3 linked regions of the Drosophila melanogaster genome follow. The protein of the gene in region 2 interacts with the protein of the main gene of each other region in a biochemical or structural test. Each region holds a gene or a part of one and is shown on either strand. Other genes may lie near its edges.

Region 1 (4,929 bases), on a different chromosome or scaffold from region 2:
GCTTCGGCCTGGCCCTTCGGAAGCGATTCTCCGGTGACTAGCAGACGGTCATCTGGACTAAAGCAGCAATCTGTTGTGTCGTAGCGGGAGAACAGGTTTGTCCAGGTATGCAGCGGCTGTTTGAACTGCCGCAGATCCCAAAGCTTCATGGTCTCGTCGTTGCTGCGAGTGGCCAACTGCTGACCCATGTACGAGAACACAATGGAGGTGATCTCCGAACCCTTCTGATGCGCATCCCTGACGCAGTGCGTGGTGTTCACAAACATCTTGCGCGTGTCCCACGTCTGAATGGAACCATCCACGCAGCCCGCTGCTATGAGTGTGGCGTCCCTGTTAAAGTTGCATGATGCTGCGTTGGTGCGGAGGCCTCCCTGCGCCCTTGTCTTGATCACCTGCAACTGTTCCTTGGACTTCAATCCCTGCCAGATGCGCAGAGTACCGTCGAGAGCTGCGGTCAGGAACTGCTCCCTGTTAAATGGATGCCAGCAGCCGGAGGTCAACTGTGCCACGTGGCCCTTGGTGCGCGACATGTCCGAGATATACTGGTCGCCCTTGCAGCACTCCAGTTTCTCGAATCCATCGCGGTCGAGGACCTTGGCCTGGGCGTTTCCGGAGATGACCAGGATCATGTCGCCGGTCACGGAGTACTGGAGAGAACGTATGGGATGGTTCTCGCACGGCTGCAGTTGCCGGAAGCTACGCATGCTCGAGTCCATGCCGGCGAAATCCCAGAAGCACATATCGTAGTCTATGGAACCAGAGACCAAGCGGGCACCCGAGGGATCGCCAGCCAGGGCAAGGACAGCGCGGGAACCGTGCTGCATCTGCACCTCGTGTGTGTAGGGTATGCGCTTAGCAAGGCTTTGTTCGTCATCTGAATCTTCATCGGACGAATAATCATCGTCATCGGAGTCTTCGTCTTTGGACGATTCCTTCGTGGCTTTCTCCTTGTCTGTGGTCACAGCTGGTGGTAGGGGACCTATTACGTCCTCCTCTTCCTCGTCTTTCTGGTCATCCTCCTTCGGCTTGGACTCCTCCCTTTTTTTGTCCATTCCCGGGCGGGTAACTCTCGCCTTTTCTATCTGCTCGTTGATGTCGAACACCTTGGCCGCCTTGCGACCAAAGCCACTGATGCCCATCACTTCCTTGAGGTGCTGGCTCTCCAGATCTTCGGCCACGTCCTCGATCTGCCGAATCATCTGCTCCTTGTCCATTTTCTTGAATCCTCCGCCATTTCCGCTGGCTTCAGTGGACTCCTTTGCATCTTCCGCCTCGGTTTCGTTGGATCTTGGCTCCGCAGGAGGTACGTTTACATTCAGTTTGATTTTCCCGAAGGAAATTTTACCGCGTTGCATAGTTTTAAGGCCCCACGCTAAGTGGATTTTCAAATTTTTAATTAAAACTATATTTCTCTGAAAATATGCGGTAAATATTTTGTAAACAAGTGAATTAAGTGACCGTTTATATTCGGACTGTCAATTTGGTATTTTAAAAGATCGAGCGAATTGTTATGGTCTTTAAATAAGCTCTGGCTTGCCCATTAAAATTTTTCAATTTAATAATGACTCATATATTGTTCATGTATTGCAAACAAGATATATATAAACAATAAAGGAAACTGCATTGGAATATTAAGAGTTTATATCGATTGCAATTTAAGAATAGTGCACTCAAAAATACTAAACACACATACGGTCACTCTAATATAGCTGACTGGCGTCTAACCTAAAATTAGGCGCGCAGTGTTGTTTTGTGTCTGCCGGAATTATTGTAAATTGGTGACAATTTCGCAAGGCGGCGTAATACATAGTTGATCTATTATCTTGTTACTGGAGAGGAAGAAGTGCAGGATGACAGACTCTCTGGAGTACAACGACATAAACGCCGAAGTGCGCGGAGTCTTGGTGAGTCGCAAAAAAGCCGGCGTATTTTGTCACATTTCGCATGACCGAGGTTTTCCATTTCCCTGCGCGCAAAAAAGTGTTCCGGACGCCTAAAGATGACCGAGCAGAACATCATCTTCAAGAACACCAAGACCGGCAAGGTGGAGCAGATCTCGGCAGAGGACATAGACCTGATCAATTCGCAGAAGTTCGTGGGCACCTGGGGACTGAGGGTGTTCACCAAAGGCGGCGTGCTCCACCGCTTCACCGGATTCCGCGACAGCGAGCACGAGAAGCTGGGCAAGTTTATCAAGGCTGCCTACTCGCAGGAGATGGTCGAGAAGGAGATGTGCGTCAAGGGCTGGAACTGGGGCACCGCCCGCTTCATGGGCTCCGTCCTGAGCTTCGACAAGGAGTCGAAGACCATCTTCGAGGTGCCGCTGTCGCACGTTTCGCAGTGCGTGACCGGCAAGAACGAGGTCACCCTGGAGTTCCACCAAAACGACGATGCGCCCGTGGGTCTACTGGAGATGCGGTTCCACATACCCGCCGTGGAGTCGGCCGAGGAGGATCCGGTAGACAAGTTCCACCAGAACGTAATGAGCAAGGCCTCGGTCATCTCGGCTTCGGGCGAGTCCATCGCCATTTTCAGAGAGATCCAGATCCTCACGCCTCGCGGTCGCTATGACATCAAGATCTTCTCGACCTTCTTCCAGCTGCACGGCAAGACGTTCGACTACAAGATTCCCATGGACTCGGTGCTGCGGCTCTTCATGCTGCCCCACAAAGACAGTCGACAGATGTTCTTTGTGCTCTCCTTGGATCCGCCCATCAAGCAGGGACAAACGCGTTACCACTACCTGGTCCTGCTGTTTGCTCCCGATGAGGAGACCACCATTGAGCTGCCATTCTCGGAAGCCGAGTTGCGAGACAAGTACGAGGGCAAGCTGGAGAAAGAGATCTCCGGGCCGGTGTACGAGGTGATGGGCAAAGTGATGAAGGTGCTGATCGGTCGAAAAATTACCGGACCCGGTAACTTTATCGGACACTCTGGCACGGCTGCAGTGGGCTGCTCGTTCAAGGCTGCAGCTGGATATCTGTATCCCCTGGAGCGAGGATTCATCTATATCCACAAGCCACCGCTGCATATCCGCTTTGAGGAGATTAGTTCTGTGAACTTTGCCCGCAGCGGCGGATCCACGCGATCTTTCGACTTCGAAGTGACGCTCAAGAACGGAACTGTTCACATCTTCTCCTCCATCGAGAAGGAGGAGTATGCCAAGCTCTTCGACTACATCACACAGAAGAAGTTGCATGTCAGCAACATGGGCAAGGACAAGAGCGGCTACAAGGACGTGGACTTTGGTGATTCGGACAACGAGAACGAACCAGATGCCTATCTGGCTCGCCTCAAGGCTGAGGCGAGGGAAAAGGAGGAGGACGACGACGATGGCGACTCGGATGAAGAGTCCACGGATGAGGACTTCAAGCCCAACGAGAACGAGTCCGATGTGGCCGAGGAGTATGACAGCAACGTGGAGAGTGATTCGGACGATGACAGCGATGCTAGTGGCGGCGGAGGCGACAGCGACGGCGCCAAGAAAAAGAAGGAGAAGAAGTCCGAGAAGAAAGAGAAAAAGGAGAAAAAACACAAGGAGAAGGAGAGAACAGTGAGTAATGTTTGCTTATTATTATAGCTTATGGTAACATGTTTTTATATGTTTTTATAGAAGAAACCCTCCAAGAAGAAGAAGGACTCTGGCAAACCCAAGCGCGCCACCACCGCTTTCATGCTCTGGCTGAACGACACGCGCGAGAGCATCAAGAGGGAAAATCCGGGCATAAAGGTTACCGAGATCGCCAAGAAGGGCGGCGAGATGTGGAAGGAGCTGAAGGACAAGTCCAAGTGGGAGGATGCGGCGGCCAAGGACAAGCAGCGCTACCACGACGAGATGCGCAACTACAAGCCTGAAGCGGGCGGTGACAGCGACAACGAGAAGGGTGGAAAGTCCTCCAAGAAGCGCAAGACGGAGCCTTCTCCATCCAAGAAGGCGAATACCTCGGGCAGCGGCTTCAAGAGCAAGGAGTACATTTCGGACGACGACTCCACCAGCTCCGACGACGAGAAGGACAACGAGCCTGCCAAGAAGAAGAGCAAGCCCCCATCCGACGGCGATGCCAAGAAGAAAAAGGCCAAGAGCGAGAGCGAACCGGAGGAGAGCGAGGAGGACAGCAATGCCAGCGATGAGGATGAGGAAGATGAGGCCAGTGATTAGGGCCATAAACACAACAAATCAATTCCATAAACACACACCACGCTCCTCACACACCCATGTCCCAAATCTAGTTTACATTCGCCTAGTTTAGTTAAGTGCTGCCTGTTGGATACAGACCCATACGTTTTTGTTTAATTAAAACTCAACAACAATTCGAAAGTTCAAGTAATTAAACAGAATTGATAATTGCCCGTAATGATTGATATCTATCGATTATGGTTTCGCTTGACTGGCTTTTGCCACTTTCGTCAACATTATAATGCCACAGTTTGCCAGTTTTTAATGGCTCTTTGGTGAACTTAGTGATGGCCACGTTGACAGAGTTATTCCTCTTGTTTGGGCTGTGGCACATTTTGCAGGCAAGTTCGACCGTAAGCTAGGCCGGCTGGGATTATGAACCGAACACTAGCTCACTTCAGGTCCAAGGAGTTGCCAAGTTCACAAACATCGAGTGCCTGAGTGCGGACGAAAACTTCACCACCGTTTCCCTGTGCCGATTGTACGCCGTAAAGAGGGATGTCGTCGAAATGAGTCTGCGGGCCAACATCCTGCGATGGCCAAAAGGTCCGGTATCGGTGAGTTAGTTTGCAAAGCTAGGGCGTTCCTGAATGCCATAGTTGAATAGCTATCTATAGTAGAAAATGCGAGTCCAAAACACTAGTAATTAAACAACTTGAAACCTATCCATGCCTAAAACCAATTTATGTTTTGAATTAATGAAATAACTATAAACCTGTTTGAGGTTTCACAAATGATTGTGCTAAAAGACG
Region 2 (4,867 bases):
AACAACGTGATAAGGCGCGGTGGGGAAGGCCAGGCAAAAGTCGTGCCGCGCCGTTCGAATTTCAAACAGTCGAGCTGGCGCACGGTGGGACAAAAGCGTTGTTTAAAAGTTTTAATGTTTTAAAGTTTCATACATTTTAATAAAATACAAAAATTTAATTTGAAAATCTTTAACTAACGTACGGCCAAACGCACTATAAAAACTAGCCAATGGAAAAAATAGTCCAGTAACGCTTATACAATTTGTTTACAAAAACCAGTTATACAATGTATTCCAAAATTTTACATAGTAATTCTATTCCTACCACTTATGTTTTGTATCCCACTGTGCTTGGTTTGCACTCATTCCTCCACCTCTGCCGAGTCACCCACCACCAACACCCCCCAGCGCGCACGCTCTCCCTCATTCTCACATCATGCTCCGTTGGTTGGTATTGCCAGCTACGAAACATGAAACATGCTCACTGCTTTAACGCCGATTGGAACTTTAAAGGGGCATTTCGAACGGCATTTCTCATGGCCCCTTCCCTGCCCAGCAGCATCATAACAGAGAAAATTGTAATCTTAAAAATTTGGACACTCGCTCACTTTATATTACTTTCTTCTCTGAGCGTTGGCTAGAAGTGCCACTCTCCTTCTCCTTCAATTCCAAATTCGACTAACTTCCCTATCGCGGGGTCTCTCCGCTCTTAAGCTGGACTTGATCTGCATACGAGAATGAGACTGGCTATATGTTTTTACCCCGTAGGGTCTCGGTCTCTGAGATGTGTCAAAAGTAACAGGTGATTGGATTGGATTCGAAAGGAGAGAGGAGAGTTAGAGACAGGGGAAAGAGAATGTAGAGCGTAAGAGCGAACCGGCTTTTCTACCATTTGTTATTATTACTTTCACAGGATCTGTTAATATTTCGGAACCGAAGAGAAACCCAGTCCCGATACATGTCTATTTTAATCTAAACCTATCAGATTCTTTTGATTCCTGTGTAACCCTCAGTAGCATTACACTTGTTCCCAGAAAAATGGAATCTGGTATCTTAAAAAGAAAACTGAAAGTAATTTATTCTGAACCCAATACCCTTCTAGATTTTGGTGATCAAACATAATAAATTGTTAGATTAGGGACTCGTTCTACGAAAATCTGCTTATCGATTTAATCATAGCTAATGTTGGAATTTATTTTTAATACAATTGCTCGATACCTTAGCTAGAATAATTCAAAAACGTTCTGAATTGTTTATCCTTCATTTTTAAACTGTAAAATTTGAGCTTATTCAGAGTGGAGTAGTATAAGAAAATGTTGAATATTTTGATACCGGATCCGATAGTTATAGAACCGGAACCTACGGATCCCGTTGACCTTTTTCTTATCGCACTCTGATATTCCAACCGGTCGGACACATGTGTTTTTCATCCGTGAAGTCGGCCCAGAATATTTCCATCATTCAATATTTACCACCTTTTATAGTTTTGTTTACTATCTTGCCGACTTTTTTGTCTTGCCGTCTTGCTCTCCTCTCCATCCTAAAAATACTCTTCCTGCGCTCCATCTGGCAATGCCGCTCGACAACTGTACTTCAAAGAGCGTTGCCAGGCAGGTCACTTCTCTCATAGATACACAGATACAGGCGCGCACGCACACCAGCACGCAAAATAACCACCACCAGCAGTACAGAAATTACACATTTTCTCCCCGAGTAGAGAACTGAAAAACTGGCCGCGCTGGCAGCGCCGGAGCAGCGAAATTCGATCGAAACCATTTACTCAGTCTCAGTTCGAGTTATCCAACGTTGGCGAGCGGACAAACAAGCAGGAGAAAAAAGCGTACGGGCAAGAGAAAGAGAAGGCACAAAATCACCCACAGCCACTGAAATTTTCTTTTGCGCTCCGGTGAGAAGATAATTTCACAAACCAAAACCGAACCAACAAACAAAAAAAGTGCGCTCCGTGAGCGGGAAAACAATAACAAAATCAAGAGACATGCGATTATAAAACGAACAAAATAACTGAGTGACAAAAAAAAATTAAATGCGTGTCTCATGGCTTGACTGTACTGTGTATTAAAAAATGTGATTGTGTCGGCTGTCCGTCTGTCTGAGTTTGTGCGCGTGTGTGTGCTGTTGGCGTTTTTAAATGTGGCGCGCTATTTTTGTGTGATTTTTGTGGGCAGCAACGAATTTTGAAACATCAATTGTATACTAGTTGTCAGTCCCCTTGTGAAAAAGTCTTCTCCAACAACAAAATTCCTGTGAGCAGCCTACACACATGCGTTGTCTCGCTCTCGCGCGCTCTGGCCCCCAAAGAGTGCGAGAGCGGGAGAGTGAGACCGAGAAAGAGAGAGAGAGAGAGAGAGCTAATAACTAACGTCTGTACTCTTTTTCTTTTCCATTTTTCATTTCAGTTTCGAGAAAGCAGCGCGCCAAGCAGCAAGAAGAGGAAGAGCAAAGGGAGTTGGAAAAGCAGTGGCGTCGTGGAGGAGGAGTAGAAAGGGGATTTTTGCGAAAAATCCCAACTTGAAGAGAATTTTCCCCGTAACCGTTAAACATTAAATCGTCGTGTTGGAGACAAATAGCAGCGAATACGCTAGCAACGCTGGGGAGGAACAACAATTGTTGGATTTGGACGCGACCGCTTTGATGTCGCTGCCAATGAATTCGCTGTATTCGCTCACCTGGGGCGATTACGGCACCAGCCTCGTATCGGCAATCCAATTGTTGCGCTGCCATGGCGACCTCGTCGATTGCACGTTGGCCGCCGGCGGGCGGAGTTTTCCCGCCCACAAGATAGTCCTGTGCGCCGCCTCCCCCTTTCTGCTGGACTTGCTAAAGGTAAGTGCTCGGTTCGGAAACACTGCCTAAAACACCTTTCAATAAGAGAGCTTGTACATAACCTCAAACGTTTCGTACAGTTTGTAAACAGAGAAATCCAATCGCAGAAATAGGTTAATGTTTGGAGCGCAGAGAAACTGACACTCGCACGCAAATGCATACATATGTATAAATAACGCAGATTTACGCTCCGCTCCAAAAGTTGTCTAGAGATTTTTGTACAAGTTTTCCACTGTCAATTGAGTTGAATGAGTGGCTCCGCCCCCCGCATTCCCGCCGTCTATCTTGCTTATCAGCTTTTTCTTGTTGCAAAGTTCACCGGAGAACGAGAGAGTGAGACGTAGAGACAGAGCGCAGACAGAGAGGGAGAGAGCGAGAGAACCAGTTGGTTCGGTCGACAGAAAAGTGGTTTTGGGCCCGGTGGTGTAACAGAGAGGGGAGAGCCGAAAGCTGGTGCGCCAACTTTTAAATCGCATGTGTTAGAGCGAGCGCAAACGAGAGCGCCAAAAGCAGCGCGGCAACTGTTGTAGTTGTTGGATGGTTGGAGCTTTCGTCTTGCCTTTTGGTTCTTGCTGTTGTTGGGTGCACACGAGCGCGACCTCTTTCTTCACAGACAGAACTGTACAGTTGGCTCTGGCTAGGGGGAACTTGAAATATTGGGGGGAATATGGATACATATACAAAGATAATTAAAATTAAATTTGTATTGATTGGTTTGATTTCCTTAACCCATTTCCTAAGCTAAGTCTTTTGTATTTTGTATGTCACCATTTTAGATTGCTAGATTGATTGTCTAACAGCAAACTTCGCTCAATTAAAAGTTCCTGGACTTTAATAGACTTATCTACTTCAAATCTTTATTTAAACTTATAACATAGTGACCAAGTCCAGATTGTACCAAAGATAAGCAAGCCTGTCTGGTGCGCTTCCCTCGTATCGAATCCAACCCGTATTTCTATAAACTAAAGCATTTCATATTAGGAAGGCGCACTTTTAAATGGAGCTTGCAAGTTTTTTCATGAGCTGTATTGCGATACTGTACTTTTTAACAACTCATTTGCACTTTAACTTTGACGCTTTTCCGCCACTCTGTCGATTGTTCAAAGTGTGCGCTTAAGTATGAAAGTTGGACCGTCTTCAATGCGTGGCCCTATCGTAATGGAAATACTGACCAAAACAGAGCGCGGCCAGCGAAATGAAAACACCTGATGCGACGCCGACAGCGGCTACTCTGCGCTTCGCTCCCCCTTATTCTCAGCGCTCCTCATCTCTCCTCTCCTTTTCTGGGCCGTGAAAAAGTAAACAGAGCGAAATTTTTGAAAACGCCGCTCAGAGCCGTCGTGGGGAAATGTCAAAGAAAAAAAAAAAAAAACAAAAAGAACGGGACCAATGCGGCTGTGAACTCTGCAAGAGTCCGAAAAGTACAAGATGTACTGATCTCGTTACACTCACACACGCACGCAAAAACACATGGCGGTCGCTCTTTGTTGCTCTTGCTCCCTCTCCCTTGCTCCTACGGCAAATGGAATGCAACTCTGAAAAATCGATGAGCGAGACTTTGGTTGGAGGCAGAGTTCAAAGAGCGCAAATGGGAGTGCGGTGAGATGTGTCATTTCAAGAGATTGGCATTGGATGAAGGGAGGGTGTTGGTTGGTGAGTCCGTAAATGGAGAGGGGTTGTTTTCTGAGCAATGCTATATAATTAAATGTTTGGAGCGGGAGCGGGAGCGGGAGAGGACACAGAAGAAGAACAGCTAAGCGCTCTTTCTTTAAGCGCTGCTCTGTTTTCTTTTTCAGCATCTGAAATCTCAAAATCCTGCTGCAGAATGTGCAGAGCGCGCAAAAGTAAAAGCCGGTTGTCTTTTGTCTGTGTCACTGTGTGCGTGAGCGGAGGAGAGTGTGAGCGACGCGTCGCACCGCGAGTTTCCATTATTTCCATCTCCGTCCGACTGTTTTTGTTATTGTTTTTATTTGGATTGGCGGACGGACGAACGGGCCTCTCAATTCACGCCAAAAATGTGAGACGATTTCAAAACAAACACAAC
Region 3 (6,963 bases), about 13 Mb from region 2:
CGCCTACGGCCTGGATGTCCTGGGTGGGTCCTTCGCTTTGGATTCGCCAAATGGATTGGGGTCTGATCGCTTGTGTTTTATTTACAGGTCACGACGCGTGGCACACGCCGAACACGTGGGAATTTTTGGTCAACAAAAAGTATCACATTATCTGGTGGGTGTGCCCTTTATTCACTCTTCAACGATTCCATTTTAGTGTGTCATTCGGATTTGACAAATAGGATCTTAACTTACTATTTATTTTCCGTGCAGGTGCAATGTCTTTAAGGCTGCCTCATCGTCCTGGATGTTCAACTTCAACGTCCTGGCCGGTTACTCGCCCAGCTATCTGCGCAAAACCAAGAAGATCCTTCTCAACCTGGCCAGGGAGCGCTATCCCAGGGTGACCCTCGACGAGGTGCGTCTCGAAAGGAGTTCTTAATCCCCTTCCTCAAACCTAAATTAAACTCTTTCTATTTCGGGCGACAGCTGCGTGAGGCACAGAACTACTCGGTGACCTTTATCATCGCACGCGATCCCTTCGAGCGGCTGTTGAGTGCCTATCGGGACAAGATGGTGTTCGCCCTGCCCTACTCCTTCCACGATAAGTTGGGACGCAGCATTGTGCGCAACTACCGCAAGAAGGTAAGCATTTCGACTGTAACCCACTGCGTATACACGATATTGTTGCAATAGCAATATCAAGTATACGCATCGAATGCATCTAATACATTGTATTTTATCCAATAGCCGTCACTGGCTGCCCGTGCGGCCAACACAAAGTTCCCATCGTTTCCGGAATTCGTGCACTGGCTGCTCGACCAGGTGAAGCGCGGCAGCTTCATCGACATGCACTTCGTGGCGGCCACCTCGTTCTGCACACCCTGCCTCATCCGGTTCGACATGATACTGAAGTTCGAATCGCTGGCGGAGGATCAATTATATCTAATCGAAAAGACTGGCCTCAAGCGGGTGATAGCGCCCGTGTGGCGCAACATGGGCAAGGGCCGCAAGACGCACGAGCTCCAGCAGCAGTTCTATGCGCAGCTGACACGCCAGGAAATGCTGGAGCTCTACGAGTATTACAAGTGGGTCATCCATTTAAATTTTTAGATTATGGTAGCATACTTACAAGTTAAAATTCCTCCCCACAGATACGACTTCGAGCTGTTCGACTACGATATCCAGGAGTATCTGCAGGTTGCCCGGCCGGATGAGGCCGAAAGTCCGGCGGGCACAAAGAATTAAACTAGCTCTGAATTCTTAGACTTTGCTAAAAACCAATGAATCAAGTTCAACGAACTCACATATTAGCCGTCACAGTACGTAATTGCAAATGTTGATAATACTGAAGAAAACAATAATAAAATTAGCTATATTTAAACGAAGCCTGTGCCAAAGTCTTTTATTTAATGTAAAAATGTATTTTTGGCGAGACACATTTTTAATTAAATCCAGTTTTAAACATTTTTTTCAGTGCACCAATTTTTAGCGCGTAAAATGTTCATATATGGTTCGAGTCCCTGCTAGACGTGTCTGTACTGTTGCTTGGTTACACTATTTTTACATTGACAACTGGTATATTACGGTATTTTTGAGAGCGGTCTCACTCACGTCGAGCTGACGCTTATTCTGCTTCTTCTTCATCTGGTCGCCGCGCAATTTTTTTATCCGGCGGAATTTGCAAATGCAATTTCTGGCGTTTAGCGCATTTTAAGCGGAGTTAACGCATACACAGTAACAAATCCGGCGGCAATATGTCGAGCTTTGTGCTGGACAAGGAGGCGTTCGTGCGCCGCGTGAAACGCCTCTACACGGAATGGAGGGTGAGTCTGTCCGCCGGTCGGCGATCTGCGTGTTTTTGGGGCCGCAGGAGCACCGGGGAGCACGTGGAGACTCTGCAGACGGGTCACGATAATGAAAGATTGGGAGATGTGGTGAAATTAATTACCCATAGACCAGGTTGTTTGGGGAAAAGAGGATTACTGCATAATAATATCGGACTCTTTGTCTTTCGCAGGCTCCCAGCATCGGACACGATGACGCGCTCAGGAATCTGGACTGCATCATGAGCATCGTGGGCGTCGAAGAGGATGTCATGTACTCCAAGTCCATGGCCCTGCAGCTCTGGCTGCTGGGCTACGAGCTGACGGACACCATCTCAGTGTTTTGCTCGGATGCCGTGTATTTTCTCACTAGCAAAAAGAAAATAGAATTCCTGAAGCAGACGCAGAACATCACCGAAGAAGGTTTTCCGGAAATCAATCTGCTTGTTAGGGATCGGGTGAGTTTCGATTTCTGCTCCAGGCCAAAAGTTCTCTAATCCTTTCTGATCTTGACTTCGAGAAGACGGACAAGGACCAGGGCAACTTCGAGAAGCTCATCAAAGCCCTGCAAAACTCGAAGAAGGGCAAGCGTTTGGGCGTCTTCGCCAAGGACGCCTATCCCGGGGAGTTCAGCGAAGCATGGAAGAAATCCCTGACGGCGTCCAAGTTCGAGCATGTGGACATTAGCACTATTATCGCCTACCTCATGTGTCCCAAGGATGAGTCGGAGATCAACAACATACGCAAGGCATCGCTAGTGTCAATGGACATTTTCAACAAGTATTTGAAAGATGAGATCATGGACATTATTGATTCGGATAGGGTGAGCACCTGGCGGCTATAATATTATGTGTTTTCCTAATATATTAACCTTTTTAACCTCCTTTTTAGAAAGTCAAACACAACAAGCTCTCAGATGGCTGCGAGGCTGCCATTGGCGAGAAGAAGTACACCAGTGGTCTGGATCCCAGACTCCTCGATATGGCCTACCCACCCATCATCCAATCGGGAGGAGCCTACAGCCTGAAGTTCTCCGCGGTGGCGGACAAAAATCCCTTGCACTTCGGTGTGATTGTGTGCTCCTTGGGCGCCCGCTACAAGTCGTATTGCTCAAATATATCGCGCACCTTTCTGGTGAATCCCACCGAGGCCATGCAGGAGAACTACACATTTCTGGTAAGTGTGCAGGAGGAGATTCTCAAGCTGCTGGTTCCGGGCACAAAGCTGTGCGACGTCTACGAAAAGACCCTGGACTTCGTGAAGAAGGAGAAGCCGAGTATGGTGGACAATCTGCCCAAAAGCTTTGGTTTCGCCATGGGCCTAGAGTTCCGGGAGAACTCCATTGTCATCGGACCCAAATGCCAGGCGCTACTCAAGAAGAATATGGTCTTTAATTTGCACGTGGGCATCTCGAATCTGACCAATCCCGAAGCCACCGACAAAGAGGGCAAGAACTACGCCCTCTTCATCGGAGACACTGTGCTAGTAGGCGAACAATCCCCAGCCAGTGTGATGACTCCGTCCAAGAAGAAGATCAAGAACGTCGGCATCTTTATCAAGGACGACAGCGACGAGGAAGATGTGGACGACAAGAAGACCGCTAAAGAAGATCAGGGCACCGAGATCCTGGGCCGCAGCAAGCGCAACGCGGTGCTGGAGTCAAAGCTGCGAAACGAGATCAACACGGAGGAGAAGCGCAAGGAGCACCAGCGCGAGCTGGCTCAGCAGCTGAACGAGCGCGCCAAGGATCGGCTGGCCAGGCAGGGAAACTCGAAGGAGGTCGAGAAAGTGCGCAAGAACACCGTCTCCTACAAGTCCATCAGCCAAATGCCGCGCGAGCCGGAAGTCAAGGAGCTCAAGCTTTACGTGGATAAGAAGTACGAGACCGTCATCATGCCAGTGTTCGGCATCCAGGTGCCGTTCCATATATCCACCATCAAGAACATCTCGCAGTCGGTGGAGGGCGAGTACACGTACTTGCGTATCAACTTCTTTCATCCCGGCGCCACAATGGGTCGCAACGAAGGCGGACTCTATCCTCAGCCAGAGGCCACATTTGTCAAGGAAGTGTAAGTATAGTGCGAAATCTGCTTAAGGAATGCACTAACTAGACACTTTTCCTGCAGTACATACCGCAGCTCTAATGTTAAGGAACACGGGGAGGTGGGAGCTCCATCCGCAAATCTAAACAATGCTTTCCGGCTGATCAAGGAGGTGCAGAAGCGCTTCAAGACCCGCGAGGCTGAGGAGCGCGAAAAGGAGGATCTTGTGAAGCAAGACACACTCATTCTGTCCCAGAACAAGGGTAATCCCAAGCTGAAGGACCTATACATTCGGCCCAACATCGTGACCAAGCGCATGACGGGCAGCCTGGAAGCGCACAGCAATGGATTCCGCTACATCTCCGTGCGCGGCGACAAGGTGGACATCTTGTACAACAACATCAAAAGCGCGTTTTTCCAGCCCTGCGATGGCGAGATGATCATTCTTCTGCATTTCCACCTGAAGTACGCCATTATGTTTGGCAAAAAGAAGCACGTGGATGTACAGTTCTACACGGAAGTGGGAGAGATCACCACGGATCTGGGCAAGCACCAGCACATGCACGACCGCGACGACTTGGCTGCTGAGCAGGCAGAACGTGAGCTGCGGCACAAGCTCAAGACTGCCTTCAAGAGCTTCTGCGAGAAGGTGGAAACCATGACCAAGTCGGTAGTGGAGTTCGACACGCCGTTCCGTGAGTTGGGATTCCCTGGAGCACCCTTCCGCAGCACGGTGACGCTGCAACCCACCTCGGGCTCCCTGGTCAATCTGACGGAATGGCCACCATTTGTCATCACGCTGGACGATGTGGAGTTGGTGCACTTCGAGCGCGTTCAGTTCCACTTGCGCAACTTCGATATGATATTTGTGTTCAAGGAGTACAATAAGAAGGTTGCCATGGTGAACGCCATTCCTATGAACATGCTGGATCACGTGAAGGAGTGGCTCAAGTAAGTTCATCTGCCCATTTGCAAAATGCACTTTTACTAATGAGTATCCTGTAGCTCCTGCGACATCCGCTATTCGGAGGGTGTTCAATCCCTGAACTGGCAAAAGATCATGAAGACCATCACCGACGATCCTGAGGGATTCTTTGAACAAGGCGGCTGGACATTCTTGGACCCGGAATCGGGCAGCGAAGGCGAAAACGAAACCGCCGAATCCGAAGAGGACGAGGCCTACAATCCCACCGACGCCGAATCGGATGAGGAGTCGGACGAAGATTCCGAGTACTCAGAGGCATCAGAAGACAGCGAGGAAAGCGATGGTATGCACAAACCCAAAACATTCCATATCTTCTAGTTGGTTAATATTTTCATCATAATTTACAGAGGACCTTGGCTCTGATGAGGAATCTGGCAAGGATTGGTCCGATCTGGAGCGCGAGGCTGCTGAGGAAGACCGCAACCACGATTATGCCGCAGATGACAAACCACGCAACGGCAAATTCGATTCGAAGAAGCACGGCAAGAGTTCAAAGCACAGGTATGAGCCACGATCCCATCATGGACGGGTTTCCATTAAGGGTTACCTTATCCGAGATCTCCTTTCTCTTATCTATATCAATCGTTCTACAACATTTTACGTCCACCACAGTCGCCGCGACCGCGAGGAGGCTCGATCGTCGTCGCACAGTAAAAAGCACAAGTCGAACTCCTCCTCGTCCTCTTCGCATTTAAAGTCCTCCAGCTCCAAACATGGCAGCTCATCTAGGTTTGTTATCGAAAGCCCCGAACACTTAATACCCAACCATACGGCCTAACGCAAGTGCATTTCACATATCATTTTTCACTCACAAACCATTACACACTGGAAGTTTCGTTATAAATTTGATTTTCTTCTTTGGTGGAACAAAAAACCAAGCAATTGGACGTTTTTAAGAGTTATTTTTTGTTGATATTATTTATTTCTGGTGTTGGCTTGGCAAGTTTTGGATAGGGATACCCCAAATTCCATCCGTTTACAACCACTTTCTGTTTGGGTTTATGTTGAATTATTTATGATTGTTCAGTCTGGCAAAATTGATAAAAAGAAAGAAAAAAAAAGAACAGCATCATAACTCGCTTGCTCAAAATTGATAACCACAGAGGAGTAATTATTTGTGAAATTTCTTTTAACACATTTCCAAATTCCCTTGATTATTTTAAAGCCCGTCGAAGTCGTCGAAGGACAAGTACAACAGCCGGGACAAGCATCATTCCTCCTCATCGTCCGGAAACAAGAGCAGCAGCAAGGACAAGGATCGCAAGCGCTCGCGGGATGACAGTCGCGACAATGGGCACAAGTCGAAGAAGTCGCGACATTAGGGAGCTGTTCCTGTCGCCAAGCCTGTGTGGCACTCCGTTCGTAATCTAGCTCTCCTGTTACCATTGTCTATCTGTTAAAGGACCCGCCACCCCAATCCCCCGTCACTCATTTTTGTCACGCTTCAAAAGTTGTATTACAAATTAAATATAATACGATACATTAATATAATAAACTAATGTAAGAACTACATTACTCCTACTTGTTCCAGCTGCCGAGCAGATGCCGATAGGCGTGCACCTCCACTTCCCCGCTGTCGCGCCGCCGCCTTCGCCGTCCGCCGCGCTGCTCCTGCTCCTGGTGCAGATGCGGATGAGCTTGGGGATGCTGGCGCGGACTTCCGGCGGCGGCCACACTACCCCGCCTTTTGTGCGCATCGAACATGTTGCGGGTCTTGTTGATCGGATAGCGCATCTTGTTCTTCAGCCAGGTGGTGAAGGCGCGCTCGTTGTCCTGCATCTTCTTCAGCTCCTGCTCGTTGCGATTGATGGTCTGCTCCATGGAGAAGCGCTGCTTCCGCCGCAGTTGCTGGTCGCGCCGCTGCAGTTGCTGGGCAGTCAGTCCGTACTCGGACATGTAGCCCGTGTACCTGGGTAGCTTGCCCTGAATCGAATGCCGGTGCTCGCAGCAGATCTTGTAGTTCATCCGCACCGAAGGAGACGTCGTGGAAGCGGAGGCAGAGGATAGAGTGGGCGTGGGCTTGGGCCGACGGCGAAAGCTAAAACTGCGCGAAGTGAAGAAGGTCTTGGAAGTCGCCTTGGGACATGTGGTGCACGAATCCCTGACTTCATCGGGCTCCTCCTTCTTGTAG

Evidence for each region.
Region 1: the proteins of Trl (region 2) and Ssrp form a complex in vitro, tested with the Drosophila melanogaster proteins (one study listed by BioGRID).
Region 3: the proteins of Trl (region 2) and dre4 form a complex in vitro, tested with the Drosophila melanogaster proteins (one study listed by BioGRID).

The regions. Positions count from the first base shown.
Region 1 is NT_033778.4:23,805,785-23,810,713, reverse strand, and holds Ssrp (structure specific recognition protein), read left to right. Parts: upstream 1-1,709; 5' UTR 1,710-1,850; coding exon 1,851-1,904; intron 1,905-1,981; coding exon 1,982-3,553; intron 3,554-3,613; coding exon 3,614-4,159; 3' UTR 4,160-4,353; downstream 4,354-4,929. Other genes in the region: CG5543 (uncharacterized protein), read right to left, coding at 1-1,355; CG5539 (uncharacterized protein), read right to left, coding at 4,885-4,929; CG13561 (uncharacterized protein), read left to right, coding at 4,465-4,518, 4,579-4,734. UniProt on the Drosophila melanogaster protein: Component of the FACT complex, a general chromatin factor that acts to reorganize nucleosomes. The FACT complex is involved in multiple processes that require DNA as a template such as mRNA elongation, DNA replication and DNA repair.
Region 2 is NT_037436.4:14,754,860-14,759,726, reverse strand, and holds the start of Trl (Trithorax-like), read left to right. Parts: upstream 1-1,764; 5' UTR 1,765-1,885; exon of another isoform or gene 1,886-2,243; intron 2,244-2,390; exon of another isoform or gene 2,391-2,396; 5' UTR 2,397-2,631; coding exon 2,632-2,823; intron 2,824-4,867. UniProt on the Drosophila melanogaster protein: Transcriptional activator that functions by regulating chromatin structure. Overcomes the repressive effects of chromatin by promoting the open chromatin conformation in promoter gene regions, thereby allowing access to other transcription factors.
Region 3 is NT_037436.4:1,870,952-1,877,914, reverse strand, and holds dre4 (dre4), read left to right. Parts: upstream 1-1,602; 5' UTR 1,603-1,736; coding exon 1,737-1,805; intron 1,806-1,999; coding exon 2,000-2,263; intron 2,264-2,328; coding exon 2,329-2,628; intron 2,629-2,696; coding exon 2,697-3,874; intron 3,875-3,931; coding exon 3,932-4,798; intron 4,799-4,852; coding exon 4,853-5,115; intron 5,116-5,179; coding exon 5,180-5,333; intron 5,334-5,444; coding exon 5,445-5,561; intron 5,562-5,997; coding exon 5,998-6,154; 3' UTR 6,155-6,341; downstream 6,342-6,963. Other genes in the region: CG13937 (uncharacterized protein), read left to right, coding at 1-23, 88-154, 253-397, 469-624, 730-1,067, 1,134-1,227; CG13924 (uncharacterized protein), read right to left, coding at 6,351-6,963. UniProt on the Drosophila melanogaster protein: Component of the FACT complex, a general chromatin factor that acts to reorganize nucleosomes. The FACT complex is involved in multiple processes that require DNA as a template such as mRNA elongation, DNA replication and DNA repair.